3 linked regions of the Xenopus tropicalis genome follow. The protein of the gene in region 2 purifies or fractionates together with the protein of the main gene of each other region. This does not show direct contact. Links are inferred from orthologs where the notes say so. Each region holds a gene or a part of one and is shown on either strand. Other genes may lie near its edges. The genes, in order: immt, cdk9 and ddx5.

What was found.
Region 1: the proteins of cdk9 (region 2) and immt purify together in Homo sapiens (affinity purification with mass spectrometry; 3 studies listed by BioGRID, with this or other methods). This does not show direct contact. The link is inferred for Xenopus tropicalis from reciprocal best matches to the Homo sapiens genes CDK9 and IMMT.
Region 3: the proteins of cdk9 (region 2) and ddx5 purify together in Homo sapiens (affinity purification with western blotting; 3 studies listed by BioGRID, with this or other methods). This does not show direct contact. The link is inferred for Xenopus tropicalis from reciprocal best matches to the Homo sapiens genes CDK9 and DDX5.

The regions. Positions count from the first base shown.
Region 1 is NC_030677.2:17,818,844-17,829,179, reverse strand, and holds the start of immt (MICOS complex subunit MIC60), read left to right. Parts: upstream 1-3,621; 5' UTR 3,622-3,749; coding exon 3,750-3,794; intron 3,795-8,410; coding exon 8,411-8,484; intron 8,485-8,925; coding exon 8,926-9,118; intron 9,119-9,263; coding exon 9,264-9,396; intron 9,397-9,578; coding exon 9,579-9,701; intron 9,702-9,822; coding exon 9,823-9,939; intron 9,940-10,336. UniProt on the Homo sapiens protein: Component of the MICOS complex, a large protein complex of the mitochondrial inner membrane that plays crucial roles in the maintenance of crista junctions, inner membrane architecture, and formation of contact sites to the outer membrane.
Region 2 is NC_030684.2:24,558,488-24,568,727, reverse strand, and holds cdk9 (cyclin-dependent kinase 9), read left to right. Parts: upstream 1-3,208; 5' UTR 3,209-3,521; coding exon 3,522-3,613; intron 3,614-5,112; coding exon 5,113-5,194; intron 5,195-5,870; coding exon 5,871-5,961; intron 5,962-6,752; coding exon of another isoform or gene 6,753-6,770; coding exon 6,771-6,949; intron 6,950-7,031; coding exon 7,032-7,203; intron 7,204-7,813; coding exon 7,814-7,962; intron 7,963-8,274; coding exon 8,275-8,640; 3' UTR 8,641-8,956; downstream 8,957-10,240. Other genes in the region: sh2d3c (SH2 domain-containing protein 3C), read right to left, coding at 542-581. UniProt on the Homo sapiens protein: Protein kinase involved in the regulation of transcription.
Region 3 is NC_030686.2:51,530,877-51,541,212, forward strand, and holds the start of ddx5 (probable ATP-dependent RNA helicase DDX5), read left to right. Parts: upstream 1-3,686; 5' UTR 3,687-3,704; coding exon 3,705-3,745; intron 3,746-6,328; coding exon 6,329-6,491; intron 6,492-6,890; coding exon 6,891-6,987; intron 6,988-7,063; coding exon 7,064-7,197; intron 7,198-7,278; coding exon 7,279-7,344; intron 7,345-8,024; coding exon 8,025-8,166; intron 8,167-8,244; coding exon 8,245-8,405; intron 8,406-8,807; coding exon 8,808-8,980; intron 8,981-9,219; coding exon 9,220-9,330; intron 9,331-9,486; coding exon 9,487-9,548; intron 9,549-9,629; coding exon 9,630-9,689; intron 9,690-10,336. UniProt on the Homo sapiens protein: Involved in the alternative regulation of pre-mRNA splicing; its RNA helicase activity is necessary for increasing tau exon 10 inclusion and occurs in a RBM4-dependent manner. Binds to the tau pre-mRNA in the stem-loop region downstream of exon 10.

The sequences.
Region 1 (10,336 bases), on a different chromosome or scaffold from region 2:
GGGCCAAATGATTGAATTAGCCTGGATTCTCCCAATATCGCTCCCACCCAACATCGCCAAGCGAGCGGTTCTTATGGTGTATAGGCACCTTTAGAGCTGCTGGCAGAAATATTGCTTCTCTTTCCCACAAAATCCCTCATTCTGCCACACTGTATAGAATAGATAGGTTATACAGAGTATATAATAATACAGAGTAGATATAGTTATATAGGTCCATGCCAGATTACCATAAGGGCAGCACAGATAGACGCCCATGGTTTCCAGGGGAAATAGTAATGTGAAGCTGGGGACTGGCCTGGGACAGATCTAGGGCATGAGGCCGGTATGGACTGGGATACAAAATAGTCCCTGGCATTGCAAGTACACAGAGGCACAAACAGCCCCCCCCCAGCCCAATAAATAGTGACTGTCTGTGGCACCTTACAGCCCCCCTGGCATTCCCAGTACCCAGAGGCACAAACAGCCCCCCCAGCCCAATAAATAGTGACTGTCTGTGGCACCTTACAGCCCCCCTGGCATTCCCAGTACCCAGAGGCACAAACAGCCCCCCCCAGCCCAATAAATAGTGACTGTCTGTGGCACCTTACAGCCCCCCTGGCATTCCCAGTACCCAGAGGCACAAACAGCCCCCCCAGCAGCCCAATAAATAGTGAGTGACTATGGCACCTTACAGCAGCCCCTCTGGCATTCCCAGTACCCAGAGGCACAAACAGCCCCCCCAGCCCAATAAATAGTGAGTGTCTGTGGCACCTTACAGCCCCCCTGGCATTCCCAGTACCCAGAGGCACAAACAGCCCCCCCAGCCCAATAAATAGTGACTGTCTGTGGCACCTTACAGCCCCCCTGGCATTCCCAGTACCCAGAGGCACAAACAGCCCCCCCCCAGCCCAATAAATAGTGAGTGTCTGTGGCACCTTACAGCCCCCCTGGCATTCCCAGTACCCAGAGGCACAAACAGCCCCCCCCCAGCCCAATAAATAGTGAGTGTCTGTGGCACCTTACAGCCCCCCTGGCATTCCCAGTACCCAGAGGCACAAACAGCACCCCCAGCCCAATAAATAGTGACTGTCTGTGGCACCTTACAGCCCCCCTGGCATTCCCAGTACCCAGAGGCACAAACAGCCCCCCCAGCCCAATAAATAGTGACTGTCTGTGGCACCTTACAGCAGCCCCTCTGGTATTACAGATTGCCAGTCAGACCTGCCATGATGCACTGCCCCAACCCCACGGCCAACGTTACTCTGCCCCCTGGGTGTGCTCAGGACATAGCTGGGGATTTCTCGTTGGGCAGGACTAAAACCCTTCAGAAAATCACCTCTGTGTCAGTGTGCTGAACCCCTTCTACCACCTTTCTGAAGAGTTACATAGTGCCATTGTGAGTGGATTAGTGGAAGAGTACATATGCTGAGGGCTTCCCATACCAGTCAGTTGAACTGAAGAAGCTGCTCGGATGAGTAGTGAAATGTCTTCAATGATCACCAAACAAGTCCAGTTGCTTTAAATTTATTTATACTAGATAACCCCTTCTAATGTTTTAAAACATGGTTGACAGGTAAAACAAATAAAACTAGTCATTTATTATTATTATTAATAGCATTTATTTATAAAGCGCCAACATATCCCGCAGCGCTGTATAATAAGTGGGTTCCATACATTGGCATACCTCCCAACTGTCCCGCTTTTCGCGGGACAGTCCCGACTTTCATTACTCAGCCCGCTGTCCCGGATTTTTGTTTAAATGTCCCGCTTTTCAATTGCCCGCTTGTGACTGTGACGTCATGATTAGACTGCTCCGGGAAGCACAGAAAGATTGTGATGTGAACGCTGCAACGGAGATTCCAAGCCGACAGGATGGATTTATTGCTGTTGCCCTCTGCTCTTTTATGGCTCCTTCTCCCCTGCTGCCAGTATGTATGTTAGTAGCAGCTCACTACAGAAGCCTCCCTGTCTCCCACTCCTACCAATTCCTCCCCCCTTCCCGGTACCAGGCCCGGATTTGTGGAGAGGCCACAAAGGCCCGGGCCTAGGGCGGCAGAAGTTTAGGGGCGGCATGCCGCCCCGCCGCAAAAAAAAAATTAAATTTGGCTCCCATACGGAGCAGTCGGGACCTCTCCCCACTGCTCCGTATGGCATTTTTAAAGAGCGCATGCGCACTGGTGGGGCCGCTTTCGCGCATGCGCACAGGAGGGCGCGCTTTCGCGCATGCGCACTGGGGGCGCTTTCGCGCATGCGCACGGGTGGGGAGGGGACGACCGACAGGGGTGGCCTCGGGGCGCCCAAAACAGAAATCCGGCCCTGCCCGGTACAAGTTTCACTAAGCTGTTTACCTGCTACCCCCTACACCTCTTTCACTGCTGAGCTCTCTTTAGCTGTCTCCTTCTGATAACCTCCCTACCCAGAGTTATCCTGAACCTTTAGGCCAACATTTCCTTAACCCCAGTCTTCCTTACTGGTACAGGACAAAACCCTGATGGTGGTCAGTGTATCATCTATAATACTACCTGCAGGGTAATTAGCTTAACCATGTTAGTTTGCTACAACTCCCTGCATTCATTAATATCTAAAATACATTTTGCTTTCTATTAAAAGTATTGCTGAAAGGATATTGCCTTATACTTCTCACTGTAATGTATGCCTTATACATACACTGTAATGCTTGTGCAACAATGAGTGTCATGACATGCTGTGCTACTGTGTATGGGGGCACTGTGTATGGGGGGCACCTGTGTATGGGGGGGCAAAACTGGTACATAGTTATAACTCACATATAACTCACTGCCTTCTCTCTATATTTGTATTTATATGTAGGAGTTGCTATAATGTTTCCCTTAGGCAGTACAGTATGAGAGTATAGCACATTTGCGTCTGATCCCGCCATTTTAACTATATAAAAGGAGTATTTTTTTAATGGGGTGTGGTAATTGGGGCGTGGTCACAAAAGAGGGTGTGGTCAAAAAAATTGCCGCGCTGCGCGCACCAAATCTTTTTGTCCCTCTTTTCATTTTTCAAATGTTGGGAGGTATGCATGGGACATACAGAGTAACATATAAAGCAATCAATAACCGATACAAGAGGTGAAGAGGGCCCTGCCCAAAAGAGCTTACACTCTACAAGGAGACATACAGAGTAACATATAAAGCAATCAATAACCGGTACAAGAGGTGAAGAGAGCCCTGCCCAAAAGAGCTTACACTCTACACAAAGTTATTACAGAAACAGCTGTGACTTGTGAAACTATGCAAAGGATAGTTCTCTAGGTGTATCAGCTGCTTCTGCTACATTGCTGTGAGTCAGAACCCGCGGTGCACAGACTGTAACCAGGCAGGCACTGCTTTCAGCCATCACAGAGCTGCACAGAGAGTGTAAAGTTTATTTTAACCACATTTTATTGCGCAAAAGCCAGTTTCATGGTGAAAGTCCCCTTTATTAATACGTAGTGCGAAAAGTCATGTGGTACAAACTCTATAACACTGCGATAAACCACAACACACGATATCCCTGTTAGGAACTACAAGTACCAGCATGCCCCAGCCATGAGACCCGTATTGGATACGCAAATCCCTATCTTGTTCTCAGAAGTGTTATTAATAAAGCTGTTGAATTAAAAAAAAAATCAAGCTGTCATGCCATAGTGGGCGTACCCCGGCGAATGACGTAGGCGGAGCTAGAGGTGCTACACGGACCGCGCCTCCATTCATGCCGTACTGAGAGCGCTCCCGGAGCTTGCCCTCCCCATCACACCGGAGAACATGCTGCGGGTGTGCAGGAAGGCCCAGGCGGCGGTGCTCGCCAAGGTGAGTGGATAGCGCGAAAGAGTACACAGTGTTGCAGTGAGGGAGCTTCTAGTTGGGAGAATGGGCGGGGATGGATTCTGACAGGATATCGCCTAAAGGCCGGGAAACAGCAGTACTGAGCCTTACGAAGTAAGGGACCCCGGCTTCCAAGGCTGGGAGCCGTCAGCGGCGCCTAGGACTTCCTTTCACTCCAGCCAATTACAGGCAACCGCTTTAACAAGCTGCAGGCTGACCGGCCAATCAGATTCCAATGTCCTTGGCACTTTAGCCAATTACCCCTTGGTTAAATATATGACGCTGCTCGGGCGGGGCTAGCGTTAGATTGACGTCTGTTAGACCTATAACGTGGTTAGTTGTTTTGACGGACGTTCTGTGAAGCCAATGAGCGATGTATATTTTGGCAGGTAGAATGGAAAGCTATAGTGGCGAGGGACTGTGAGGCGGCATGGGGCTAGGTCACCGGGGCACACGGCCTGTATACGGCCTAAAGTTTATTTTAGCCTCAGTGGCTAATTGTACCCTCCTGCGAGAGCGCCCCTGTCTGCATAAACCCCACTTGTCTTTTGCCTGTAGGTGTGACCTTGCTTGGTGTCCCATCCCCAGGGCCTAGCTCCTATCTGGTGCCAGGGACAGTACAGAGAGTGGCAAAGAGCTTAGTTAAAGTTATTGGACCACAACTCCCAGCATCCCTTGACAGCCTTTTGCGACAGTTAAGGTTTGCTTTTTGATTGGGAGAAAATATCATCTTTTCATTCTTCCATATAAATTGTATAAAAGCGCTGCTTCACCTTCACCATTGTGTCTTTTTATTACTTATCTTTCTATGTAGGCCCTCTTCTATTCATATTCCCATCTACCTTTTAAACCACTGGCTGGTTGCTAGGTTAAATCGGACCCTAGCAACCATACAGCTGCTAAAATGTAAAATTGGGGAGCTGTTGAACACAAAGAAAAATATATCAAAACCTGCAAGTAATTAAAAATGAAGACCAATTGCAAACTGTTGCAGAATAGCACTCTCTGCATCATACTAAAAGTTCATTTCAATGTAAACTGCCCCTTTATATGTACATTGTGTTGTATGAAGCAGATCTAATGATGTATAGAGCGTTGGCACTCTGCCTTCTACTTTCTAATCTGTATCTGACCCCAGCCCAGGGTAGGAATCCTTATACAGGTGTACTAGGGACCTGGGGAAGGTATATTTCCATTATTTGGATCTCCATACTTAATAATTAAAAGCTGAAATAAACCCAGTAGGATTGTTTTGCCACTCACATGGATCTGTGCTGCTTAGTTACCATCTCATACAAGGTACTGTTCTAATATTTCAGAGAAATAGGAAATCGGAATTATTTGCTTATAATAAAGTCTGCAGAATATTAAAGATGAACTCTGGCTTCTGCGCCAAAATGTGTTACAGAGCCCCACACAGCACAGAAACCCCCCAAATCCCTATCACTGTAATCTGTTCCTTCAAAAAGTAGGAATAAATACCATTTTATATGCTGAAATCCAGCTGCAAAACAGTTCTTCTCTTTCTGCATCATTTGAAATCCTGGCAGGGGAGAAGGGACTAAAACATTGATGTTACAAATTGTAACAACTTCTCCACAGCTTACTGACAGCATGCAGGAACCCACAAATTCTCCGACATGGGGGCAATATCAACAGGAGCCAGTTAACTTTCCCCTATATTGCTGGAGGATGCACAGCAATGGCACAGAGGAACGTTACTCAGATGCCAAGCACACAGTGCCCAATCTGCACGTAATGCTCAGCAATGTGGGGCAGGAATGCTACTTAACGTGCCACCCTGCTCCCATTGATAGCCGTGCCCTTGGATGTTGATATGAATAGGTCACTATGCTATCTTTTTTTACCCACAATGCAGTTTTTATCCCCCCCCCCCAGCAAAATGGCAGGTACCCTCTAAGGCTTATGGCACAAGGGGAGATTTTCTGCCCATGGCTAAATCTGGGCTGCCGCGGGCAAGGAAATAAGCACTGTATATGCTTTCCCACTGTCAACTTACTTTACTGCTGGTTGCAAAGCATTTTGGGGAGATTTGTCACCCACAGTAACCCAGATTTAACCAAGGGTGACAAATCTCCCCTCAGGCCCAAAATGGCAGTCTATGGATTGCTGTAAGGTGCCACAGACAGTCACTATTTATTGGGCTGCTGGGGGGCTGTTTGTGCCTCTGGGTACTGGGAATGCCAGGGGGGCTGTAAGGTGCCACAGACAGTCACTATTTATTGGGCTGGGGGGGCTGTTTGTGCCTCTGGGTACTGGGAATGCCAGGGGGGCTGTAAGGTGCCACAGACAGTCACTATTTATTGGGCTGGGGGGGCTGTTTGTGCCTCTGGGTACTGGGAATGCCAGGGGGGCTGTAAGGTGCCACAGACAGTCACTATTTATTGGGCTGCTGGGGGGCTGTTTGTGCCTCTGGGTACTGGGAATGCCAGGGGGGCTGTAAGGTGCCACAGACAGTCACTATTTATTGGGCTGGGGGGCTGTTTGTGCCTCTGGGTACTGGGAATGCCAGAGGGGCTGCTGTAAGATGCCACAGACAGTCACTATTTATTGGGCTGGGGGGGCTGTTTGGGCCTCTGTGTACTGGGAATGCCAGAGGGGCTGCTGTAAGATGCCACAGACAGTCACTATTTATTGGGCTGCCGGGGGGCTGTTTGGGCCTCTGGGTACTTGTAATGCCAGGGACTATTTTGTATCCTAGTCCGGGCCTGTATCCCTGTGTGTCCTGTGAGCTGCAGCCTGTGTGAGGGGACAGATTATCATCCACTTTGGGAAATTGTGGTGCCGTGTGTGTTGCCAGTTTTTCCTAATTGCTGTGTGTGTGCCTTTATTTGTGCCAGTAATGCAGGGGGGCATCAGCTAGTTTGCAAATGGGTTGCATGTGTGGTTGCGTCAGTACAGCCGGCATGAAGGCTTCTCACTTACCCATGGGCCCTGTACCCTGGGCGCTGTTCCTCAGAGCAGGCTGAACTGCTGCAAAGTACAAGGTGTCGGTGTAAATAAGATTTAAGCACACAGAATTGCATGTGTATATGAGCCTTAATATGTACTATACATTTGTTTCACTAGTTGTACAGGTGCAACGTGGAGCTGTTTGGGTGAGGGGGCTGTTTGCTTTCTGCCCTGATCTGGTGGCTGCACACTTCCTTGTGCTGTATATATGGGGTACCCTTCACAGGGGTTTGTCCGGTTGCCATTGATCATTGGTTGTGTATAAAGGAAATATTTCCATTCATGTTCTACTTATCTTATGTGCAGTGTAACATTCTGCAGTATACTAATAGTATCTAATGATAATGATTTACAGACCGCAAACACACACTCTAAAGGTCCCCATACACGGGCCGATAGTAGCTGCCGATATGGGTCCCTTAGACCGATTCGGTAGCTAATCAGCCCATGTATGGGCGCTACCGACGGGCCTGCCCGACCGATATCTGGCCCGAAATCGGCCGGATCTCGATTGGGCGGGTTAGAAAATCTAGTCAGATCGGGGACTGCATCGGCTCGTTGATGTGGTCCCCAGACCGACTTTGCCTATACCTGTCATTATAATTCGATCATTTGGTCCCAGGGCCAAACAATCGAATTACCCTGGATTCTCCCAATATCACCCACCCGTAGGTGGGGATATCGGGAGAAGATATGTTGCCAAGCGAGCGGATCTTATGGTGTATGGGGACCTTTACTTGCAAATAAAAACTCTTGTGAGTTTATTTATTTACTAACTTTTGCTCCGGGTCTAGTAACTCATGGCAACCAATGATATGATTGCTTTCATGATTCTGACTGCTCTAGACCAGTACAAACTGCTACCCAATGCCCTGTGGGGAAATGCCTAATATGCAGTTGGTTACAAGGACATTCTAAGCACAATATTCCCTAAATTGGGGTTCAGGTAATAACCTTAGGGAAAGAATGGGGTAAAGCAAGAACATGTTATGTAGCTATTTTAAAGACTTTACTGAACTGTAGAGCTGTTCTGTTGTTGGAACTGAGGGGTTAATCATATTTTGTGCCGGCTGGTGTCTCTGCTGGATTTTCCTTTGTAACCTTGGTAACCCATGAATTGGCACCCTGTTAGTGGAACGTATTCCTGCCAGGCATCCTGCTGCAGCACCCTCTGCTCTTGCGGTTGGTCTCGGCCGGGCTGGGCAGGCGCCTTTGAGCCTCCGTGGAACCAGTGAGTCATTAGGAAACCAGGAAATGTATCTGGCTTGTCTGCAGCATCACTTGGCATCATTTACTTGCCGGGGCCTATGAGCAGTACTGATCTCCCATACTGACTGCACTGGTTAATAGGAAATATAATGTCCTGGAATTTCCATTTCAAAGGAAGTGCTAACAGTTACACACAGCCTCTATAATGTATTGGCTTTGATACCAGTGCTCCCAGTGCACCCAGATGTCACTTCCCTGCAAGTTAAACCTATAGTGATTATGCCACCGGGGGGGCTACTGTAAGATGCCATAGACCTGCCCTTTCTATTAGGCCTGAGGGAGGGATGTATGTGCCTCTGTGTATTTGGACTCTCAGGCTGTGCATAATCAATACATTTTCCTTGTTTGTTCTCTATTAGGAATGCCTGTGTAGCAGAGTATCCCTCCGTCCCTTGCGTGCAGCCAGATCCTACTCTACTGCTGAATCATCTGGGTATGTGTGGCTTTTTCTTGCAGCTTGTTTAACTGTTATACCCCAGTTTTTCTTTTAAAACCTCTAGTGGAATGGGAAATAATATACAGTTACACTTTTAGTCAGTGGTTATAGGCCTGCCCATGTAGCGTGCCCAATTTAGCCTCTGATATGTATAAGCAATCTATAGGCCTGTATAAGGCTTTATGGACAGGAGCCTTACTAATGTGCCTATTACTGCCCCATAAGGAAGGGTAGCAAAGCTGCACCGTGTGTTAGTAAATGGGCCCATGTTTGTATATTTTGGCATCAGATGACTTTGCTTTAGGGCACGTGTATTACTGCAGGGTGAATCATGTACATCCATTATCCATGATGGTTCCATTTGTAGCTAATCCTTTATTTACTAAGTCTCAGTAGGCATGCAGTCTGACCAATTTACTACTTTGTTTCTTTTTTCAGTCCCTCTGCTGCAAAGATCATTGGTGCCGGCATCTTGCTCACAGGCGGAGGCATCGGGGGCACTGTCCTGTACGCCAGCTGGGACCCACGATTTCGAGAGAATGTTGAGAAGACTATTCCCTACTCCGACAAGCTGTTTGACTTGGCTCTCGGGCCTCCTGCTCCAGCCAGTCTGCCTGTGCCAAAGAAACCAGTAAGACATATATCCTGCCTCTTATATTAATAATAATAATAAGGCAAATTAGTTTTGCATTTGCCGATTAGAGGCAAATTCACTGTACTCCAGTAGTCCTTCCAAATTCCTTTGCACAAAATAAATGCATTATACTTTTTTTCAGCTAAAATCGGGCCCACTTCAGATTTCCTCTGTGTCTGAAGTGATGAAGGAATCCAAGATGCCTAAGAAAGAGAAGGTCGAGGCTCGTCTACCAACTCCTCCTCCCCCACCTACGGAAAATGTGGATTTGGAAGGTAACGGTGCATATGGTGGAATGGGGGAGCATGGGAGAAACTGCTTTTGCATGTCAGCAAGGGGGGAAATCTATTGTGGGAGATGGGCAGACTAGGGTGAATAGTGGGACACTTGGCATTGGGTAAACCTTCATGTATGGTAAAACCTACCCACATTAATGTGTACATATCTGTTTGTGCAGCATCATCGCATGTAGCCCAAATAATCTCAGCAACTGGGGAAGCTCTGTCTGTTCCGGCTTCAGTCGTTCACGAGGAGGAGTCTTCCAAAGCCTCAGAGCCAGTGGAGCCAGCAGTCACTGCAGGTAGTAACGTTTCAACATAGCGGAAGTTACGGTTTCCAGGGTGGCGACCCAAGCTTCGAGTCTAATGCTATGGTACTTAAAGGCATTCATTTTAAATTAGATATCTTCTAACTTTTTAAAGAGGAGCACTGCAAGGAGTGTGAGCACGAGGCTACGCACAAGTTGAAAGAACGGCCTCCTGAAGAGGTGGCGGCTCGCCTTGTTCAGCAAGATAAGGAAGAACAAGAAAGGATTAAATGTAAGTGTGTGAGTGCTCGTTTGCTGCTATTGGCAGGCACCATTTTACCATGTATTCCCCTCTCTAGCTGTTCTGAATAACCATAAGTAGAAGAAATACAAATCCCCTTCCCAGTTAAACCCCCTGTAACTCCTATATTGGATTCCTTAACTGACTGCCTACGTTGGAATATGCTTATCTTTAGATTCCACTTTCTTATTTGGCCCTAATTAAATACAGAAGTAAGGATGCTGACAATCTAATATACCACAGTACATCACTTTCAGGGGAGACCATCTGACCAATCATTTTCATTCTATAAAGCACAGAGAATGAGCTCTCCATGACTGTATTCCTTATTAACCCATGAGTGGGACAGTGCTGTAGTGTAGCGTGGCCTCACATAAACCATGGGGGG
Region 2 (10,240 bases):
TATTCTCCTAGTGTCTATGGGGAATTCTTCTGGGTACTCCGGTTTCCACCCACTCTCCAGGTTAACTGGCTGCTGATAAAACTTCCCCTTGTGTGTGTGAATGTGATAGGGACCTTGGATTGTAAGATCCACTGAGGCAGGGATTGATGGGAATGATGTTTAATCTTTATAAAGCACTGCAAAATATGCAGGAGCTATAAAAAGGATAATTAAGTAACCTACAAATATAGCATATTCTCACTGCATGTGGGCACTACATGGTCAGCATCTTCGGATCGCAGCTACCTCTAGGGTCATTACAGTCTACTATACCCAAGTTCCTGCAGCCATACTGAACAGAACAACACAACCCAGGTGATAATGGCATCATGAGAAGCCCTGCATCTCTGCCAAAGAGACAGCTATGCAGCGCGAAGCAAGTATGGTTATAGTGACTAGGCTATACTCAGTGTTCTGAGCTGCAGCATGCTCTTGCACTGGTGCATGCAAGGTGCACACAATAAAGCATGCAAGAAAATAGAAGAATGCTGCTCATACTTACGGAATTTCTTGTTCGTGGGTTTCTTTGTAGGGTCCCCCATTTTATCAGGTCAGGGGGTGGCAAGGCCAGGTCCCAGGTGCAAAATTCCTCAGTTTCTGTAACTTATTCTCAATGAGTGTAACGCACGTCTTCTGCTTCTCGACTCTGGCGGTTTATTTCCTTTCCTTCTGCTTGGGTAATAGTCGCACATGGCCCCCCCCCCCCCCGCCCTGTGAACTTGTAACTTTTCTGACACCCACTGTGGTTTTTTTTTTTGTTTTAGAGATGAGCCTTTGAACCACAAATTGGGTGTGAGTTAAGAAGGAGCAACTTTTCGCTGAACATCTAACAAATGACAACTCCCTTTGATCTGATCATTTTCTGTTCAGGAGCCACTGGTAGTATTGGCTGGCCCTGTGAGGTGCCCGGCTGTGCATTGTGCATCAGTACTATATACAGGGAACATGTTTGGCTTCCGTATTCTGTCTGCCTCTGCCAGCTTCCTGTGACTGAAGGCATGCATTAATGCATGGCCCCAGCGCACACTAATTAGTATCAGAAAATCTTGAGGTGCAACTGAAAATTTCTATGGCCCCCAGACTTTTTTCCAATGTTTTTACTTAGAAAGGAACAATCTGATTACAAACCTGTACTAAAATTGCATAAGTTAGGCCCCTCTTTTTTCCTGGCCCAAAGCAGTCACAGCACCCGCTGCATCCTGTTATGGCACAGGGATTCTGGCAAATGCCAGCAGGCCTGGTGTAAGAAGCCATAGACAGTCATTATTTAGTGGGCTGGTGGGAGGCAGTTTGGGCTTCTGGGTATTTGGAATGCCAGGGCCTATATTGACTCCCAGTCCAGACCTGGGTCCATCAGAGGGTGGATGTGCAGCTACTAGAGGTTGGCAGAAGAGGCACATGCATATGGATCAATTCTGGTGGTGGTGGTGGGATGCTAGGCACATACCTCTTCTGTCTTTCTCTACCCAGGCCTAGACTGGCAATTTGCGGTTTCTGGCAAATGCCAGAGGGGCTTCTGTAGGATGCCATAGACCAGCGTTTTTCAACCACTGTTCCGCGGCACACTAGTGTGCCGCGAGATGTTGCCTGGTGTGCCGTAGGCAGGGCCGCAATTTTTACTTTCAAAGGGGGCCCGGCGATGCTACAGTTTTTCTTAGTAGCTCGGGCCCCCTTTAATAAAATCCGGGCCCTGTCATTGGTTGCGCCCCGTGTGTACGGGTGACGTCAGTACGCACGGGGCGCAACGTTATAAAAGGGCCTGTGTGCGGTCGCGTGTAGGCAGAAGTGCAGAGGCGGCGCGCGTGAGGGAAAGATGCTGCTGAAGCCGCCGAAGAGCAGAAGTAAAATGCTGCTGGGCACCAATGTATTAGGGGGGGCCACGGGGCACACTGACTTATGGGGGCACTGCTGCTGGGCACCAATGTACTAGGGGGGCTGGCTCTTGGCACCAATGTACTGGGGGGCACTGCTGCTGGGCACCAATGTACTAGGGGGGCACTGCTCTTGGCACCAATGTACTAGGGGGGCACTGCTGCTGGGCACCAATGTACTGGGGGGCACTGCTGCTGGGCACCAATGTACTAGGGGGGCACTGCTCTTGGCACCAATGTACTAGGGGGGCACTGCTGCTGGGCACCAATGTACTAGGGGGGCACTGCTCTTGGCACCAATGTACTAGGGGGGCACTGCTGCTGGGCACCAGTGTACTAGGGGGGCACTGCTGCTGGGCACAGAGTTAAATTTTTTAACATTTTCTAATGGTGGTGTGCCTCGTGATTTTTTTCATGAAACAAGTGTGCCTTTGCCCAAAAAAGGTTGAAAAACACTGCCATAGACAGTCACTATTTGAGGGACTGTTTGGGCATCTGTTTAGTTGAAATGGACTGTGCCTACCCCTCGTTTGGACCTTGGGTAATGTTGCAGCTGGGCCAGTATTTTACCAGCCTGGCTGTTAAAAATTACGCTTGATGCCAATGTTATTAATAGGTTATAAAGTTAAAAATATAGGAAGGCCGGTATATTTTTTCAGAATAGGTAGCAACCATAGCTTGGGTACAGGTAAGGCAACACAGGGCTGATTCTTGGCCTGTGTATAAATATCTCTTTGCAAATCCCTATTCCACTTGCCACAAAAATAAAACCTGGAATTCAATCTGACCCTGTGTATAAGTATCTGTATGTTTGACATATAATGCTTCTCTGGTACAGCACTGTTGCATTAATAACAATAACCCAACTAGTTCTAGTTCTACAATACCTGTGATTGCAGTTTGATGTGTCTCTCTCATATCTGTTGCCTTGGTCAGTTGCCCTAGAAACAGGTGTAGGGAACCCCAGATTTGAACATTGGCGGAAAAGAAATCATTATAATCCTCCCATAACAAATAACACGGATTGCAAAACTCGTTTTTTCTCTTAGCAAAATGTAAAACCCTTTGCTTTTAATCAAAAGTTCAAGTTCCCCTCTGGGCCATTGAGTGACATGACACTGTAAACATCTTTGAGTGATGCAAAATATGGTTTCACACTGTTCGCAAAAGTTACAATTGAAGTCACCCCACCCGCCATATAGCATTTTTGTTCAAATGCAAATAGACTAGATTGTATTGAGCAGCCCCCTCCCTTCCGCTAGTTGGTCCCTCCCATTACCCTCACTGTGCTGTGTTTGGGCGATTCCATGTGAATAGGCGGAGGGTTGGAATACACAAGCGCGGCGAATTCTATTGGGCCACTGCGGGGTTGCGACTGAAAGAAATGCCGAGGCTGTAAGGCCTAAGACCGTCCTTAAACTGCTACTGACGCCTTCAGTGTTTTCACACACGTCTCCCAGTAGGAGTCCGAGGCTTTGCGGCCTAGCCCAAGTCAACCCGTCAGACAGCCTGAACTCGTCGGCTCAGCACCGGGAAAGGCCGGGGCCCGGCGGCCTGTGCCCGGAATCTGATTCTCGAGGGCCTTCCGGCTCGGAACCCCCTCCCTCCGCCATGGCCAAGAACTACGACTCGGTGGAATTCCCTTACTGTGATGAGGTCTCCAAGTACGAGCGGCTCGCCAAGATCGGCCAGGGCACCTTCGGGTTAGTTATCTGGTGTCCATATCCTTGTATAGCTTTTTAGCTGTAGACACACAAACAGAGTGAGATTACATAGTAACATAGTAAGTTGGGTTGAAAAAAGACATACGTCCATCACGTTCAACCATAATGCCTATATATAACCTGCCTAACTACTAGTTGATCCAGAGGAAGGCAAAAAACCCCATCTGAAGCCTCTCTAATTTGCTGCAGAGGGGAAAAAAATTCCTTCCTGACTCCCAAGATGGCAATCGGACCTGTCCCTGGATCAATAAATAGATTATTGACACAGATATGGAGTAGAAGTATACATCTATGGTACATAGCTATGTAAAAGGGGAATGTGTACCTGAGCTATGTAAAGGGCTATAACTAGGGATTTATAGTACATACAGTATGGAGTACACAAGGTATAGTTGGGATATTAGTATGGATCTATAGTTCATACAGTAATATATACACATCTATATTTATGACCTTATCCCTTTATACCTATTCTAACTATAGTGCCATACCATATATCCTTATCATTCCTCGCTATATAGCTCTGTCCAGATTCCCTGTCTCTGTATTGGGATTCTGCGAAGTACAGTTCCATGTTACACAGGTATGGGACCCATTATCCAGAATGCTCGGGACCTGGGGTTTTCCGGATAAGGGTTCTTTCCGTAATTTGGATCTACTACCTTAAGGGCTCTGGCACACGGGGAGATTAGTCGCCCGCGACAAATCTCCCCGAACTACCATCCCACACATGTAAGTCGCCGGTGGGATGGTACACGCTGCGCAGACGATTTTAGCAAATCGCCGAAGTTGCCTCACGAGGCATTTTCGTTGATTTGCAGAAATCGTGCCACCGCGTGTGCCATCACACCGGCGACTTACATGTTCGCCGGTGGGATGGCAACTCGGGGAGATTAGCCGCCCGCGAACAGGGAGATTTGTCGCGGGCGACTAATCTCCCCGTGTGCCAGAGCCCTTAAGGTAGTAGATCCAAATTACGGAAAGAACTGTAATTTGCGAATTAAATGATTTAAACAGTAAACACAATAGGATTGTTTTGTCTCCAATAAGGATTAATTATATCTTCTTTGGGATCAAGTACAAGGTACTGTTTTATTATTAGAGAGAAAAAGAAAATCATTTTAAAATGTTTATTATTTGATTAAAATGTAGTCTACGGCAGATGGCCTTTTCGTAATTTGGAACTTACTGGATAATGGGTTTCCGGATAAGGAGTCCGATACCTGTACAGTTTTTCTATCAATATAATTTTGCTGTATGTGCCATTATTCCTAGTCTGTATGTATAGTTTTATTACTGTACCCTAGATGAATGTTCTAAGTCGTTGTATAGCTGCAGGGTACAATCCCTATTATACAGTCACTGAGGGCTTTTCCTTTCTATCGGAAGGATGGCTGCCAATCATGGAAGTTCATTTATTTATTTTTTTTATGCTGGGAACTCATTGACTCATCTGTTTCTATGTGTTGGACCCACAGGGAAGTGTTCAAGGCCAAACATCGACAGACGGGGAAGAAAGTGGCACTTAAAAAAGTTCTGATGGAAAACGAGAAGGAAGGGGTAGGTACTAATGCTGTGGTCTGCATGTAACAAGACCCTTTTATACCATTCTGTTTAGTATTTTTATAGTGAATAATGCACCCCCATAGTAAAATAAAAGGATATTTTAAGTCACAGAGGAGTTCCATGGCCATATAAAGGACCCAGTGATTTTATACAGGTCATGAAACTCTAAGGCGGTGATCCCCAACCAGCTGTTTATGAGCCACATGTTGCTCCCCAACCCCTTGGATGTTGCTCCCAGTGGCCTCAAAGTAGGTGCTCATTTTTGAATTTCTGGCTTGGAGGCAAGTTTTGGTTGCTTAAAAACCCAATGTAAAGCCACAGTCCACATAGGGGCTACCAAAAAGCCAATTATAGCTCTTATTTGCACCCCTAGGACCTTTTTCCATGCTTGTGTTGCTCCCCAACACTTTTTCCATTTGAATGTGGCTCATGGGTATAAAAGGTTGGGGATCCCTGCTCTAAGGTAATGTCTAATATTCTCATATTTTACAACAGGGAGGTCCATTAATTATAATACCCAAGTAATGTGACGGGTATAACATCACTAAAAGCCAATTATAGCTGATGGCATCACTAAGCACCATTTATAAGGATATAGTTTATTATTTAATTATGGCACATGTGTGTCTCTAACTACATCTATCTAATGAAATCATGTTCTTTTTCTCAGTTTCCTATCACGGCTCTGCGAGAGATAAAAATCCTGCAGCTGCTGAAACACGAGAACGTAGTTAACCTCATAGAGATCTGTCGGACAAAAAGTAAGAAACATTTTGTGTCTCTCTCACTTTGTGCTGCATGTGCTGTGTTGGGGGGTTGCAGCTTGGGTGGTGGCTTTTACAGCCAAAGACACACACAGCATGGTTGTTGTGAATGTCCTGCCCCTTAGACTCCCTATCTCTGTCTGGCTCTGTCTTTCTTATCCTGCTTCAATTGAAAACCAAGCCAATGCCATACACATTGCATGGAAGCTGCAGCATCTCCTCTGCCAGGTGTAGAACAACCCAGTCCTTAAACCCAGTGACCCAGTCCTTCAACACAGTTTAGGTGGTGTTGGAGGGTTTCCAGTGGACTTGACAGTATTGGCTTATAAGCAATTTGACTGGGAGGGGAGTGTAGGGAACCTTGCTAAAGCAGATCACTCTATTTGTCAGGGGCTGACTTTGCGCCCTTTTGGTATATCAGTCATACTCTATTGCTACCCCTGCTGCCATAAGTCTAAATAGCAGTGCAGTGAGCTTTGCTATATATATGCATCGCATTGTTTTGGGGTAGACTCTTGCTCAATAAATTTGGTTACCTCTCTATGGCCCTTTAAAAGAAATATGTTCCTGGCAGGGGAGAGTGGGGTATAAAAGTGGAACCTAGCAAGACCAAATTATTTTTGGAACTATGTAGAATGCTAAGGCATAAACTCATAGCCAGAGTTGTGCCACAGTGCCTGCATTTGGTATGAGGGTCCCTGATGGACACATTTGGTCCTGCTTGGTGTCTGCCCTTTGTAAATGTGCAACTGTTGTGCTTATGCTGCTTTTGTGGGGCCGTGCTCTAGACTCTCTTGCCCACCTAGTTTCTCCCACAGCCAACCAGTACAATAGATGCAAAGGAACTATTTTCCTGGTGTTCGACTTTTGTGAGCATGATCTAGCAGGCTTGCTGAGCAATGCTCATGTCAAGTTCACGCTCTCCGAGATCAAGAAGGTAATGCAAATGCTGCTCAACGGCCTCTACTACATTCACCGGAACAAGGTGAGCAAGTGCTCCATTCTCTTCCCATCCTGGGCATTTACTGTTCTTGTAGGACCTGTGTCTAATGGACTCATGCCCACAGATCCTGCACAGAGACATGAAGGCAGCAAACGTACTGATCACCAGGGACGGAGTGTTGAAACTTGCAGACTTTGGGCTTGCCAGAGCATTCAGCCTTGCCAAGAACAGCCAGCCAAACAAGTACACCAATCGCGTGGTTACGCTCTGGTATCGGCCCCCTGAGCTACTCCTAGGTAAGGACGGTCATGTGGTTATATGCACTAATAAAGTCTGAATCCCCCAAAAAGGGAAGCTGTCGGGTCATAACATTCATGTCTGATGGAAGCCATAATAATAGTCTTTGCAATTGATCCAGCTCTGATGCAGGATATACTGTTAGCTAATGTATATCTTAAAGGGGACTTTAACTTTTAGCATGTTTATAGCAGCTTTTCAGTAGGTCTTCATTTTTTATTTATTGTTTTTGCTTTCCCCTTCTGACTCAGCTTTCACATGGGGGTCACTGACCCCAGTAGCCAAAAAACTATTGCTCTCTGAGGCAACAAATTTATTATTGTTGTTACTTTTTATTATCTTTCTAGTTAGGACCCCCTTTATTCATATTCCTGTCTCTTTCAAACCTTTGCCTGGTTGCTAGGTTAAATTGGGTCCTAGCAACCCAATAGCTGCTGAAATTCCAACTTGAAGAGCAACTGAACAAAAAAAACTAACACAAATGAAAAAACAAAAGTCAATTTGCAAATTGTTTCAAAATAGCACTCTGCATTAAATTAAAAGTTAATTTAAAGATGAACTACCCCTTTAAACAGTGTGGATAATATTTTTCCCATTTTCTGCTTGTAGGAGAGCGTGATTATGGTCCTCCCATTGATTTGTGGGGAGCAGGGTGCATCATGGCTGAGATGTGGACCAGAAGCCCCATTATGCAGGGGAATACGGAGCAGCATCAGCTAACACTCATCAGCCAATTATGCGGTTCCATCACACCAGAGGTGAGTTTTAATGAATTGCTCTGGTCCAGGATCATATCTAGGACTAAGTGGTCTCATTGGTCGTGGGATAACTAAACTAAAAAAAAGCAATTTACATTAATTATGTTTTATTCAGTTTCAGAGCTATTTAAGTATTTAAAGTTTTTAACTGCCAATAATGAATTTTTTAACAATGCTGTCACCTGCTGGTTGGTTCCTGTAACTGTTGTATTCTGATGTTGCTCTGCTTAGGAAAGAGATCAGAACCCTTAGATATCTGTAAATCTAATTAAACACCTAAACCGGATAGTTTATTTTATTAATATATTTTAGGTCTGGCCAAATGTGGACAAATATGAGTTGTACCAGAAGCTGGAACTGCCCAAAGGCCAGAAAAGAAAGGTGAAGGAAAGGTTAAAGGCTTATGTGAAAGATCTCTATGCACTGGACCTTATAGACAAGCTGTTGGTTTTGGACCCGGCTCAGAGAATCGACAGTGATGACGCCCTGAATCATGATTTCTTCTGGTCTGACCCGATGCCTTCTGATCTGAAGAACATGCTCTCTACTCACAATCAGTCCATGTTTGAATACTTGGCACCTCCTAGGAGAAGAGGCGGGCACATGCCCCAACAGCCAGCCAATCAGGCACGGAATCCTGCTGCCACAAACCAATCAGAATTTGACAGAGTCTTTTAAAGACATTCTTTATTATTTATTGGGAGGAAAAAAAAGACTTTTTTTAAAAATATATATATATTTTTTTTAATTCCTTTGTAAGTAAGCCTGTATAGTATGGGGAATAAGGACTAGCTGCATACTTTTGTTAGCATAATGATATTCAGAAGCGTGGCATTCGTGAAACAAAACTTTTAACTGTGATACTTAATCTAAAACTCTTGCTACCATGCTGATACACACTGGTCAGTGAATCGAAAGTTTTCCGAACAGCTTTCTGTGCTGCTGTACCTATGTACTTGATAGGGAATGTAAATAAAGTTTTATGTTCTCCTATTATTTTATGGCTTTCTTTCTTGCCATTTTAAATTATTATTAACATTTATTTATAAAGCACCAACATATTCCGCAGCGCTGTAAATAATCTGTTATTTCCATGGAACATAGGTTGTGTTCTCCACCAGTGTTTTTCAGCCAGCACATGCTGGCCATGCTGTTTTATTGGGAAATACAGGTAAAGTTTGAATAAATCATGGGCCCGGATTCTCCAGGCAGACACTGACTAGTGATGAGTGATAACATGCTGCCTACCCTGTTTCCACATTTTGGGGGATGGCCATTTTATGTATAAAACATACATTGGTTTGCTAAGTGGCCTAGTCCCTGCCCATAAATTGCTTCTACAGATATTCAGCCAATCAACTAATCATGTGATCCAATTGTTACTGAGTGGGCTACAGTTGAAACAGGGTCATCCATTGATAAGAATTGCCATGTTTGTGTATAAGGCCAGTTTGTACATATATTTGACTGGACGACTAGATATTCCAGAATGCTTTGGGCCTTTCCTAGTGGGGGCTAAGATTTATTATACCCCAGTTCTTCTGTCCCAAAACACTGGAGCACATTTAAAAACGCTGTGCAATATCCAGTAGAAACCAATCACAAATTAAACAATGAAAAGCAAATATGCAATTGGTTGACATGGGATACTGCCCACGTACAAATTTACCTAGTGTTGATAAATGAGCCTCCCTTACTATCCCGCGTACATAAGTACCTGGGCTGTAAGGCATAACAACCAATCTGTGATTAGTGTTCTACCCCCTCCCTCACTACAATTCAAGAGCCTGTTGCCTGTTTTTCATGTGCTTGGGCCCTTACACACAAGCATTCCAGTAATGGGTTCAGTTAACCATCAAACGCAGGTGAGACTCAACTGCATTTAGTGGCTCAGAGCAGCCCTGTAAGTACAACCTGCATATAAAATGTGCAGGGGTTGTTCACCTTTTATATTAACTTAGTATGTTGTACAGAATGCTATTCAGAGACAATTTGCAATTGGTCTTTATTTTTTTATGTGTGGTTTTTGAATTATTTGGCATTATATTCAGTCTCGAGTTTGGAATTTTAGCAGCTATATGGTTTGCTTGGGTCCACATTACCCTAGCAACCAGGCAGTGGTTCAAATGAGAGACTGGAATATGAATAGGAGTGGGTCTGAATATAAAGATAAGTAATAAAATGTAACAACAACTACAATTGTAGCCTCAAGGAGCAATAGTTGGGGTCAGCGTCCCCATTTGAAAGCTGGAAAGAGAAGCGGAAAACAATTTAAAAA
Region 3 (10,336 bases), on a different chromosome or scaffold from region 2:
AGTGGGGAGGAATTGGCAGGGACACAGTGGGGAGGAATTGGCAGGGACACAGTGGGGAGGAAGTGGCAGGGACACAGTGGGGAGGAAGTGGCAGGGACACAGTGGGGAGGAATTGGCAGGGACACAGTGGGGAGGAAGTGGCAGGGACACAGTGGGGAGGAATTGGCAGGGACACAGTGGGGAGGAATTGGCAGGGACACAGTGGGGAGGAAGTGGCAGGGACACAGTGGGGAGGAAGTGGCAGGGACACAGTGGGGAGGAATTGGCAGGGACACAGTGGGGAGGAATTGGCAGGGACACAGCGGGGAGGAATACGCAGCAACACAGTGGGGAGGAAGTGGCAGGGACACAGTGGGGAGGAATATGCAGCGACACAGTGGGAGGAAGTGGCGGGACACAGTGGGGAGGAATTGGCAGGGACACAGCGGGGAGGAATACGCAGCAACACAGTGGGGAGGAAGTGGCAGGGACACAGTGGGGAGGAAGTGGCAGGGGGGAGGAAGTGGCAGGGACACAGTGGGGAGGAATGGCACAGTGGGGAGGAAGTGGCAGGGACACAGTGGGGAGGAATTGGCAGGGACACAGGGGGGGAATTGGCACAGTGGGACACAGTGGGGAGGAAGTGTCAGGGACACAGTGGGGAGGAAGTGGCAGGGACACAGTGGGGAGGAAGTGGCAGGGACAGTGGGGAGGAAGTGGCAGGGGCACAGTGGGGGACAGGGACACAGTGGGGAGGAAGTGGCAGGGACACAGTGGGGAGGAAGTGGCAGGGACACAGTGGGGAGGAAGTGGCAGGGCACAGTGGGGGGAAGTGGGGAAGTGGCAGGGACACAGTGGGGAGGAATTGGCAGGGACACAGTGGGGAGGAAGTGGCAGGGACACAGTGGGGAGGAATTGGCAGGGACACAGTGGGGAGGAAGTGGCAGGGACACAGTGGGGAGGAATTGGCAGGGACACAGTGGGGGGGAAGTGGCAGGGACACAGTGGGGAGGATTGGCAGGGACACAGTGGACAGGGAGGACACAGTGGGGAGGAAGTGGCAGGGACACAGTGGGGAGGAAGTGGGGAGGAATTGGCAGGGACACAGTGGGGAGGAATTGGCAGGGGACACAGTGGGGGAAGTGGCAGGACACAGTGGGGGAGGGCAAGTGGCAGGGACACAGTGGGGGAAGTGGCAGGGGCACAGTGGGGAGGAAGTGGCAGGGGCACAGTGGGGAAGTGGCAGGGACACAGTGGGGAGGAATTGGCAGGGACACAGTGGGGGAAAGGGCCAGTGGGTGGGGAGGAAGTGGCAGCACAGTGGGGAGGAAGTGGCAGGGACACAGTGGGGAGGAAGTGGCAGGGACACAGTGGGAGGAAGTGGCAGGGACACAGTGGAGGAAGTGGCAGGGACACAGTGGGGAGGAATTGGCAGGGACACAGTGGGGTGGCATTGGCAGGGACAGGGGGAGTGGCAGGGACACAGTGGGGAGGAAGTGGCAGGGACACAGTGGGGAGGAAGTGGCAGGGCACAGTGGGGAGGAAGTGGCAGGACAGTGGGGAGGAAGTTGGGGGGAGGAAACACAGTGGGGAGGAAGTGGCAGGGCAACAGTGGGGAGGAAGTGGCAGGGACACAGTGGGGGGGAAGTGGCAGGGACACAGTGGGGAGGAATTGGCAGGACACAGTGGGGAGGAAGTGGCAGGGACACAGTGGGAGGAAGTGGCAGGGACACAGTGGGGAGGAATTGGCAGGGAACAGGGACACAGTGGGGAGGAAGTGGCAGGGACACAGTGGGGAGGAATTGGCAGGGACACAGTGGGGAGGAAGGCAGGGACACAGTGGGGAGGAAGTGGCAGGGAGGGGGGGATGGCAGGGACACAGTGGGGAGGAAGTGGCAGGGACACAGTGGGGAGGAATTGGCAGGGGACACAGTGGGGGAGGAATGGCAGGGACACAGTGGGGAGGAATTGGCAGGGACACAGTGGGGAGGAATTGGCAGGGACACAGTGGGGAGGAAGTGGCAGGACACAGTGGGGAGGAATTGGCAGGGACACAGTGGGGAGGAATTTGGCAGGGACACAGTGGGGAGGAAGTGGCAGGGACACAGTGGGGAGGAAATTGGCAGGGACACAGTGGGGAGGAATGGCAGGGACACAGTGGGGAGGAATTGGCAGGACACAGTGGGGAGGAATGGCAGGGACACAGTGGGAGGAATTGGCAGGGACACAGTGGGGGAGGAATTGGCAGGGACACAGTGGGGAGGAAGTGGCAGGGACACAGTGGGGAGGAATTGCAGGGACACAGTGGGGAGGAAGTGGCAGGGACACAGTGGGGGAGAATTGGCAGGGACACAGTGGGGGAGGAAGTGGCAGGGACACAGTGGGGAGGAAGTGCAGGGACACAGTGGGGAGGAAGTGGCAGGGACACAGTGGGGAGGAATTGGCAGGGACAGAGTGGGGAAGGAATTGGCAGGGACACAGTGGGGGGAATTTGCAGGGACACAGTGGGGAGGAATTGGCAGGGACAGAGTGGGAAGAATTGGCAGGGACACAGTGGGGAGGGGAATTGGCAGGGACACAGTGGGGAGGAATTGGCAGGGGCACAGTGGGAGAAGTGGCAGGGACACAGTGGGGAGAGATTGGCAGGGGCACAGTGGGGGAGGAAGTGGCAGGGGACACAGTGGGGAGGAAGTGCAGGGACACAGTGGGGAGGAATTGGCAGGGACACAGTGGGGAGGAATTGGCAGGGCACAGTGGGGAGGAATTGGCAGGACACAGTGGGGAGGAAGTGGCAGGGACACAGTGGGGAGGAATTGGCAGGGCACAGTGGGGAGAAGTGGAGGGCAGGCAGTGGGGAGGAAGTGGCAGGGACACAGTGGGGAGGAAGTGGCAGGGACACAGTGGGGAGGAAGTGGCAGGGGCACAGTGGGGAGGAAGTGGCAGGGGCACAGTGGGGAGGAAGTGGCAGGGACACAGTGGGGAGGAATTGGCAGGGACACAGTGGGGAGGAAGTGGCAGGGACACAGTGGGGAGGAAGTGGCAGGGACACAGTGGGGAGGAAGTGGCAGGGACACAGTGGGGAGGAAGTGGCAGGGACACAGTGGGGAGGAATTGGCAGGGCTCCTCAGCAGTAGGAACAAAACCTTGAGCGGGAAGGCTCAAGCACTTACTAATGGGGACTGTATGTAGCCCGTATATGTATGAGGCAATATAGTTGTACCCATTGGGTGTGCCTGGCGGGGCTAATAAGGGAACACAGCCTTACTGGCCTTGCCTCATCCCACGCAACACACACTGACTAACATGAGCCACAGATAATAAAATTCCGGGAAAAGGCGCATTGCCGGTCACATGGTCACATCGCTTAGTCTCTGCCGCCATCTTTACTTTGGGCCGGTGTCCCGCTACCAGTACGTGGTCGATATCCCGCTACAAAAGCGGGAGCAGCCGCTGCCCCACGCTCACGGTTCAGTTTGCAATATCGTTGGGGCGGAAGCCAGGAAAAAGGTTAACACCGAGCGGCTGGTCGGTTTTTCTACTTGTTGGACAGGTTTCCCTGAAGCAATATGGCGGCGGTAGGTCAAGGCCCCGCCCCGCGGAGGAATATGGTGACGTCAGTTGCCGGCCGGCCTTATATAAGGTGTGTGCGCGCTGCGTGTTACTTCCCTTCCTGCCGAGCCCTCCCGTCTGTACAGCCGCTCCCGGAACGCCCTTTGTGTAACGCCATGCCCGGATTCAACGACAGGGACCGCGCCCGGGACAGGGGGTACGTACTCGGGGGTCTCCCCGTGAGGTGCCGGCAGCTTCTGGCAGAGGCCAGTGGGGAGTTTGTTTGGGCTTAATGTTTCCGCCCGATGGCGGCTGGTACGGTAGGTAGGCATTATGGGATGTGTGTGTGTGGGGGGCCCATGAGTAACGGGGCTTCCGAGCGATGGATTGTATTGTTCGGCTCCCGGGAGGCGGGGCTCGGCGAGACAAGATGGCGGAGGCACCAGTTGCGGCTCTTTGTCTCTGCACAAAATGGCGGCGGGGGGGGGAAGGGCTCTCCTTCTATTGCCTTGTCTGGCGCTTGTACTGCCCTCCGTACTTGTACTGCCCTCACTCCCTGCCGCCTCCCCGCCGCCTCACTCCCCTCTCCCCGGCCGCCTCACTCCCCTCTCCCCGGCCGCCTCACTCCCCTCTCCCCGGGGCCGCCTCACTCCCCTCTCCCCGGGGCCGCCTCACTCCCCTCTCCCCCGGGCCGCCTCACTCCCCTCTCCCCCGGGGCCGCCTCACTCCCCTCTCCCCCGGGGCCGCCTCACTCCCCTCTCCCCGGGGCCGCCTCACTCCCCTCTCCCTGCCGCTTTATTCTTTTATCTTCCTTTGTCGCTATTTATCCTGGCAGCTGTTTATCTACCCGGGTGTATTCCCCTGGTACTTCCCCCATAGCAACTGCCCTATTGTGTGGCATCTCTATCTGCCTGGGTATATTCCCATAGCAACTATCCTATTGTGTTGCACCTTCTTGTGCTATCTGCCTGGGTATATTCCTTTGGTACTGCTCCCATAGTACCTGCCCTATTGTGTGGCCTCTGTCTGCCTGGGTATATTCCCATAGCACCTGCCCTATTGTGTGGCCTCTGTCTGCCTGGGTATATTCCCATAGCAACTGCCCTATTGTGTGGCATCTGTCTGCCTGGGTATATTCCCATAGTACCTGCCCTATTGTGTGGCCTCTGTCTGCCTGGGTATATTCCCATAGCAACTGCCCTATTGTGTGGCATCTGTCTGCCTGGGTATATTCCCATAGTACCTGCCCTATTGTGTGGCATCTGTCTGCCTGGGTATATTCCCATAGTACCTGTCCTATTGTGTGGCATCTGTCTGCCTGGGTATATTCCCATAGTACCTGCCCTATTGTGTGGCATCTGTCTGCCTGGGTATATTCCCATAGTACCTGCCCTATTGTGTGGCATCTGTCTGCCTGGGTATATTCCCATAGTACCTGCCCTATTGTGTGGCATCTGTCTGCCTGGGTATATTCCCATAGTACCTGTCCTATTGTGTGGCATCTGTCTGCCTGGGTATATTCCCATAGTACCTGTCCTATTGTGTGGCATCTGTCTGCCTGGGTATATTCCCATAGTACCTGCCCTATTGTGTGGCATCTGTCTGCCTGGGTATATTCCCATAGTACCTGTCCTATTGTGTGGCATCTGTCTGCCTGGGTATATTCCCATAGTACCTGCCCTATTGTGTGGCATCTGTCTGCCTGGGTATATTCCCATAGTACCTGCCCTATTGTGTGGCACGCTGCTGGCATATCTGTGTAGTGTCCCCTGGGTATGATCAGTCTGCCTGTAACCAGGAACAAGGTGTACTTGCAGAATATCCCTGCTGGGTTTATAGACTCTCCTACAGTTGCCCCATGCTGGGGCAGAGCTCTCACCTAGCAGTACCTGCAGTCTGGGTGCAACTGCTCCTTGCACTGCTGATTAGGCAACCACTTGGCACCTCCCTCTGTCGGTTTATGTAACACTGGCACGGCATGCCCTCAGGGAACCTACTTGGCATATACCCAGCACAGTTCAGTGGCCATTTTGCATAGGCCTCTCTCCCCTGGGGTTCTGCGCAGTAATGGGAAGGAAGGTGATGCTTCTAACTTAAAAACAAATTATCATTTTCCTGATGGCTTTTCTGGGTCTGATTATGGGCCTAGTGAGGTGCCAGGATGGAATCCTGTAAAGGACCAGGACTGGCATTGGCTGCACTAAAAATAAATGCTTTTTTCTGGCAGTGCCCATTTGTTGTGCCTGCTCATGGAATAGCTGAGGGCCGCACCTCTGTTAAATATACTGCCTGCCAGATATGTGTTGCATCTGATCAGTGTGTGCTGTCTCTGCTCTAAAGCTGGCCACACGTGGTCGCACGAAAGATCGTTCCAACCCTCCACTGACGTTCAGGGCTGAATCGTCCGATAGAGGTAGAAACAATAGGATTTCTGCAGATTCAGCCGTGAAAATAGATTTTGCTCAGGTGTCTTTAATGGAGCCTCCTGCGATCTTGCCATACACGCACCGAATATAAACAAGGTTGGTGTGTGTATGGCCAACTTTACTCTGGGGCTGTCTGAGAGTTGGCTTTGGAGCCCAGGCTTCTCTTTGCCAATGGTGGGATCTCCCCCTAAAGCAGAGTAGTTTGTAGCTTCCTGTGTATTCTTAGTGACTGCATATGAATGGCCCCTTGCATATCGGAGAGCATTGTCCTGCTCTGCATGGCCATTGTCAGTAGGGCAGTACCAAGCCAGGAGTCTGCTTTGTCGCCCAGTTGGTTCTTATTGTTTGCATTGACCCTTTTGTCTTATATTCAGATTTGGAGGTGGTCCTCGCTTTGGGGGAAACCGAGGTGGTACATCTGGCAAATATGGAAACCCTGGGGAGCGGCTTATGAAGAAGAAATGGAACCTGGATGAACTGCCCAAATTTGAGAAGAATTTCTATCAAGAACATCCAGATGTTGTGAGACGGACACCGGTGAGTTTGCTGCCTGATTGGGATGAACCAGCTTGGCACTGGGTACCTCTCACAGCTATCTGCACATTAGGAAGGCTTCTTATTGTATGTTTCAGCTAACATGGGCTGTGCCCTAGGTGTATGGCACCATCTTTTCATAGAAACTGCCTGGCTGGCTAGCACGGGTGGTTATTATGTATTGTAAATGATTGCTATGGAGATCAGTGCTTTGTCCTGTCCTGCTGCTGTTGGATAGGGTGGATATTTACCTGGGACATTCCTTATGGAGAGATTTGGGTGCTCTAGACCCCTGTAATTATAGTAAATAAATGAGTGTTCATTGGGCCACTACACTATCTAACTGAAATGGCCAGGGGGGTTGCTCAGATTACTAAATCCAATATGGACTTTGTTTTGCAGCAAGAATGTGACCAATACAGAAGAAGCAAAGAGATCACCGTACGAGGGCTTAACTGTCCAAAGCCAGTTTTGCAGTTCCATGAAGCAAGTTTCCCAGGTAAATCCCCTGCCCCTCATCTCTGCAGCTCTTTATGTTGTGTTGGAATCGGCCTGACCGCTCTGTCTCCCTATAGCCAATCTCATGGAAGTGGTTAAACGGCAGAACTTCACTGACCCCACTCCTATTCAAGGGCAGGGATGGCCAGTGGCTCTGAGTGGGCTGGATATGGTTGGTGTTGCAATGACTGGATCCGGAAAGACCCTTTCTGTAAGTACTAGGCTGGTGATGCTGTTCATGCTGGCACATGTGCAAATGTTAGTAAGTTAACCCTTTACATCTTGTTTGCAGTATCTACTTCCTGGGATTGTCCATATCAACCATCAGCCATTCCTACAGCGAGGAGATGGTCCAATTGTAAGTAGGCTTACTGCAGAACATCTGAAACCTTCTCTGAGGGCATGGTGTATTTAGGGATGGCTTGGCAATGGGGTTAGACTGTAACAATCTTACTGACCAGAACTTTATAAAAGCACAGCTTTCTCTGAGCAACAGTCACCCCCTAATTAAGGTGATTGAATTGCAGGTCTAAGCTTAATATCCCATGTAGTAGCAATCAAGTAAATTGTGTCGGTGGATTGCTGCTATTCTATACTTGGCAGAAATGAATAGGTTCTGTTGGTATTTGTATAGTGAATTCACTTGGTACTGCATTCAGGTTAATTGAAGTTATACAGTGCTTACCCCTAAATATGTTGACAAAATGCCACAAATTGTTAGGCTGGGGTGAGACTATACAAACCTGTGGGGTGCTAGGGTTCTTGCTTTGTCAGTGATCAAGATGGAGAAAATAGATCTGCATCACAGGCTCTGGAAAAGAACAGAATCTAGAGCAACATTGCTAGCCCTTCATACAAATCCAAAACCATGCAGTCTGTCAGAATATCTGCAGCTTTAGAACAGTGCAGTGCTTTCTCCAAGAATAGAACTCTGCATGTACCTTTTACAATCTGGTGGGAATAGATTTCAGAACCACATCTCTATTTCCAGAGATTTCTGTAAAGACATAAACCATAATCTAACATGTTTCCTTACAGCTTTTGGTGCTGGCACCAACCAGGGAATTGGCTCAACAGGTTCAACAAGTGGCAGCTGAGTATGGGAGAGCTTGTCGTTTGAGGTCCACCTGTATTTATGGGGGAGCTCCAAAGGGACCACAGATACGTGATCTAGAAAGAGGTGAGACATCTCACAATATGTCCTGTGTACCTTGATATCTCCCATTTGCTATGGTTCTAAACAATGCTGTTTCTTTAGGAGTTGAAATCTGCATTGCTACACCCGGAAGGCTGATAGATTTCCTTGAAGCAGGAAAGACCAATCTGAACAGATGCACATATCTAGTGCTGGATGAAGCTGACCGGATGCTTGACATGGGCTTTGAGCCTCAGATCAGAAAGATAGTGGATCAAATTCGAGTAAGTGCAGCTTTGCTTAAAGGAGACCTAGGATAAATGCCTAACAGTCCCAGCCAGAAGCACAGTACTAGGGAAAACCAATCGCAGCCCTGCACTCGCACAAGCCAGGCTTCAGTTCCATATCAGGTCAGCCTAGCTGCTGATTGGTTCCTATCCTACAGTGCAGTGTACTGGGAGCTGCCGGCTCCCCTGCACATTCAGAGAATTCAGTCAGCAGGAAGTGGAACAGATGGGCGGGGGGACTACTGGTATATTGGTGGAATTTCTCACTAAGTCCAAAACACAAATGCAATCCTTCCATATCTAGGAGAATGAATCACTGGTATATTTTTATAGGATGTCTCCTATGTTCCTATGGTCATTCCAACTGTGTGGGATACTTACTGCTTGTTTTGTTTCTAGCCTGACAGACAGACGCTGATGTGGAGTGCCACTTGGCCCAAAGAAGTCAGGCAACTTGCTGAAGACTTCCTCAGAGATTATGTTCATATTAACATTGGTGCCCTGGAGCTCAGTGCCAACCACAATATCCTTCAGATTGTTGATGTGTGTAATGATGGGGAGAAGGATGAAAAGTGAGTTTGTATTAATGTGTAAACTTTTTCTAATTCCCACTCACCACTCTCTCATCTGGCTAACTTGTCCATTACCAGCTGTGGTTACACATTGTAGCAGTGCCAGGCTGCAGTTAGCCATGAAGGTTAGAATAGCATTTTGGCTGCCCTAAGGCATTACTTTAACATAGCACGGCCTTATGCTAACTGAAACGTTGACCTGTTGATGCTGGATTTATGAATTGCATCTTTTCTTTAAGGCTTGTTCGTTTGATGGAGGAAATTATGAGTGAAAAAGAAAATAAGACCATAGTGTTTGTTGAGACCAAGAGGCGATGTGATGACTTGACTCGCAGGTTGAGGAGGGATGGGTAAGGATGATTTCAAACTTTCCATGAGCGCTATTGCACTTCCATTCTATGTCTCTTTAATATTGAAAATGGGGAGGGGCCTGTTTAAACTCCAGATGCTGGTGCTTTATGGAAAGTGTTTTCTTTCATGATGAGGGGAATGTTTTGTACTTACAGGTGGCCTGCAATGGGAATCCATGGTGATAAGAGCCAGCAGGAACGTGACTGGGTCTTAAATGGTAGGCAAGCTGTGCACATTATTGCTAAGCTGGCAATTATAGGTTCTTTGCATTTCCTAAAACTGTGTTCCATCCTTGCAGAGTTCAAACACGGTAAATCGCCTATCCTGATTGCCACAGACGTTGCTTCCAGAGGTCTAGGTTAGTACGTTCAATCTGTTTTTGCTCGGTGAAAGCCAATGAACGGACGACTGTTGTGAAATGTCATTGTTTTAAAGAAAGTGATTTGCTTTCTTTAACCTCTGCAATTCTCTTGAGTTTTGTTTTTCACAAAGGTGCGGTCTTTGTGGCAAGGCCTAGGCATGACATTCGGAGGACGCAAGGGGATGGAGGACTAGTGGAAATTGGCTGTCTGCTTCCAGTTGTGTAGAGAAGTGGAAAGCTGAGCATCGTGTGCCAGTATCTTCAAAAGGCAAAATTTAACTTGTACCCCCTCCCCCATTACCAAAACTGCAATCCCATAAAGACATCCCACATTTGTTGCATGCTTCTAGCTCTGATACTTGCAACGCATTCTGCCACTTACCCCCCAGGGTTGCGTTGAGGGGTTGACTTGTTGGAGACGCACATTGGCAGTAATATAATGGGAGCAGCTCATTTAGTTGGAAGCCTTTTGTTAGACAAATTGGTGAGTACTGGCACATGAATGGGTGTAAAGCAAAGGGAGAGGAAGCAGAACTCCTCTAGCCTTAGGTTTCACGATCCTCCCTCACCTGTATCGTAGTGGTCATGTCGAGACCTGCCAGAGGGGACAAATTCTCAAGTGAATCCTGGTTTCTCGCAAGCGC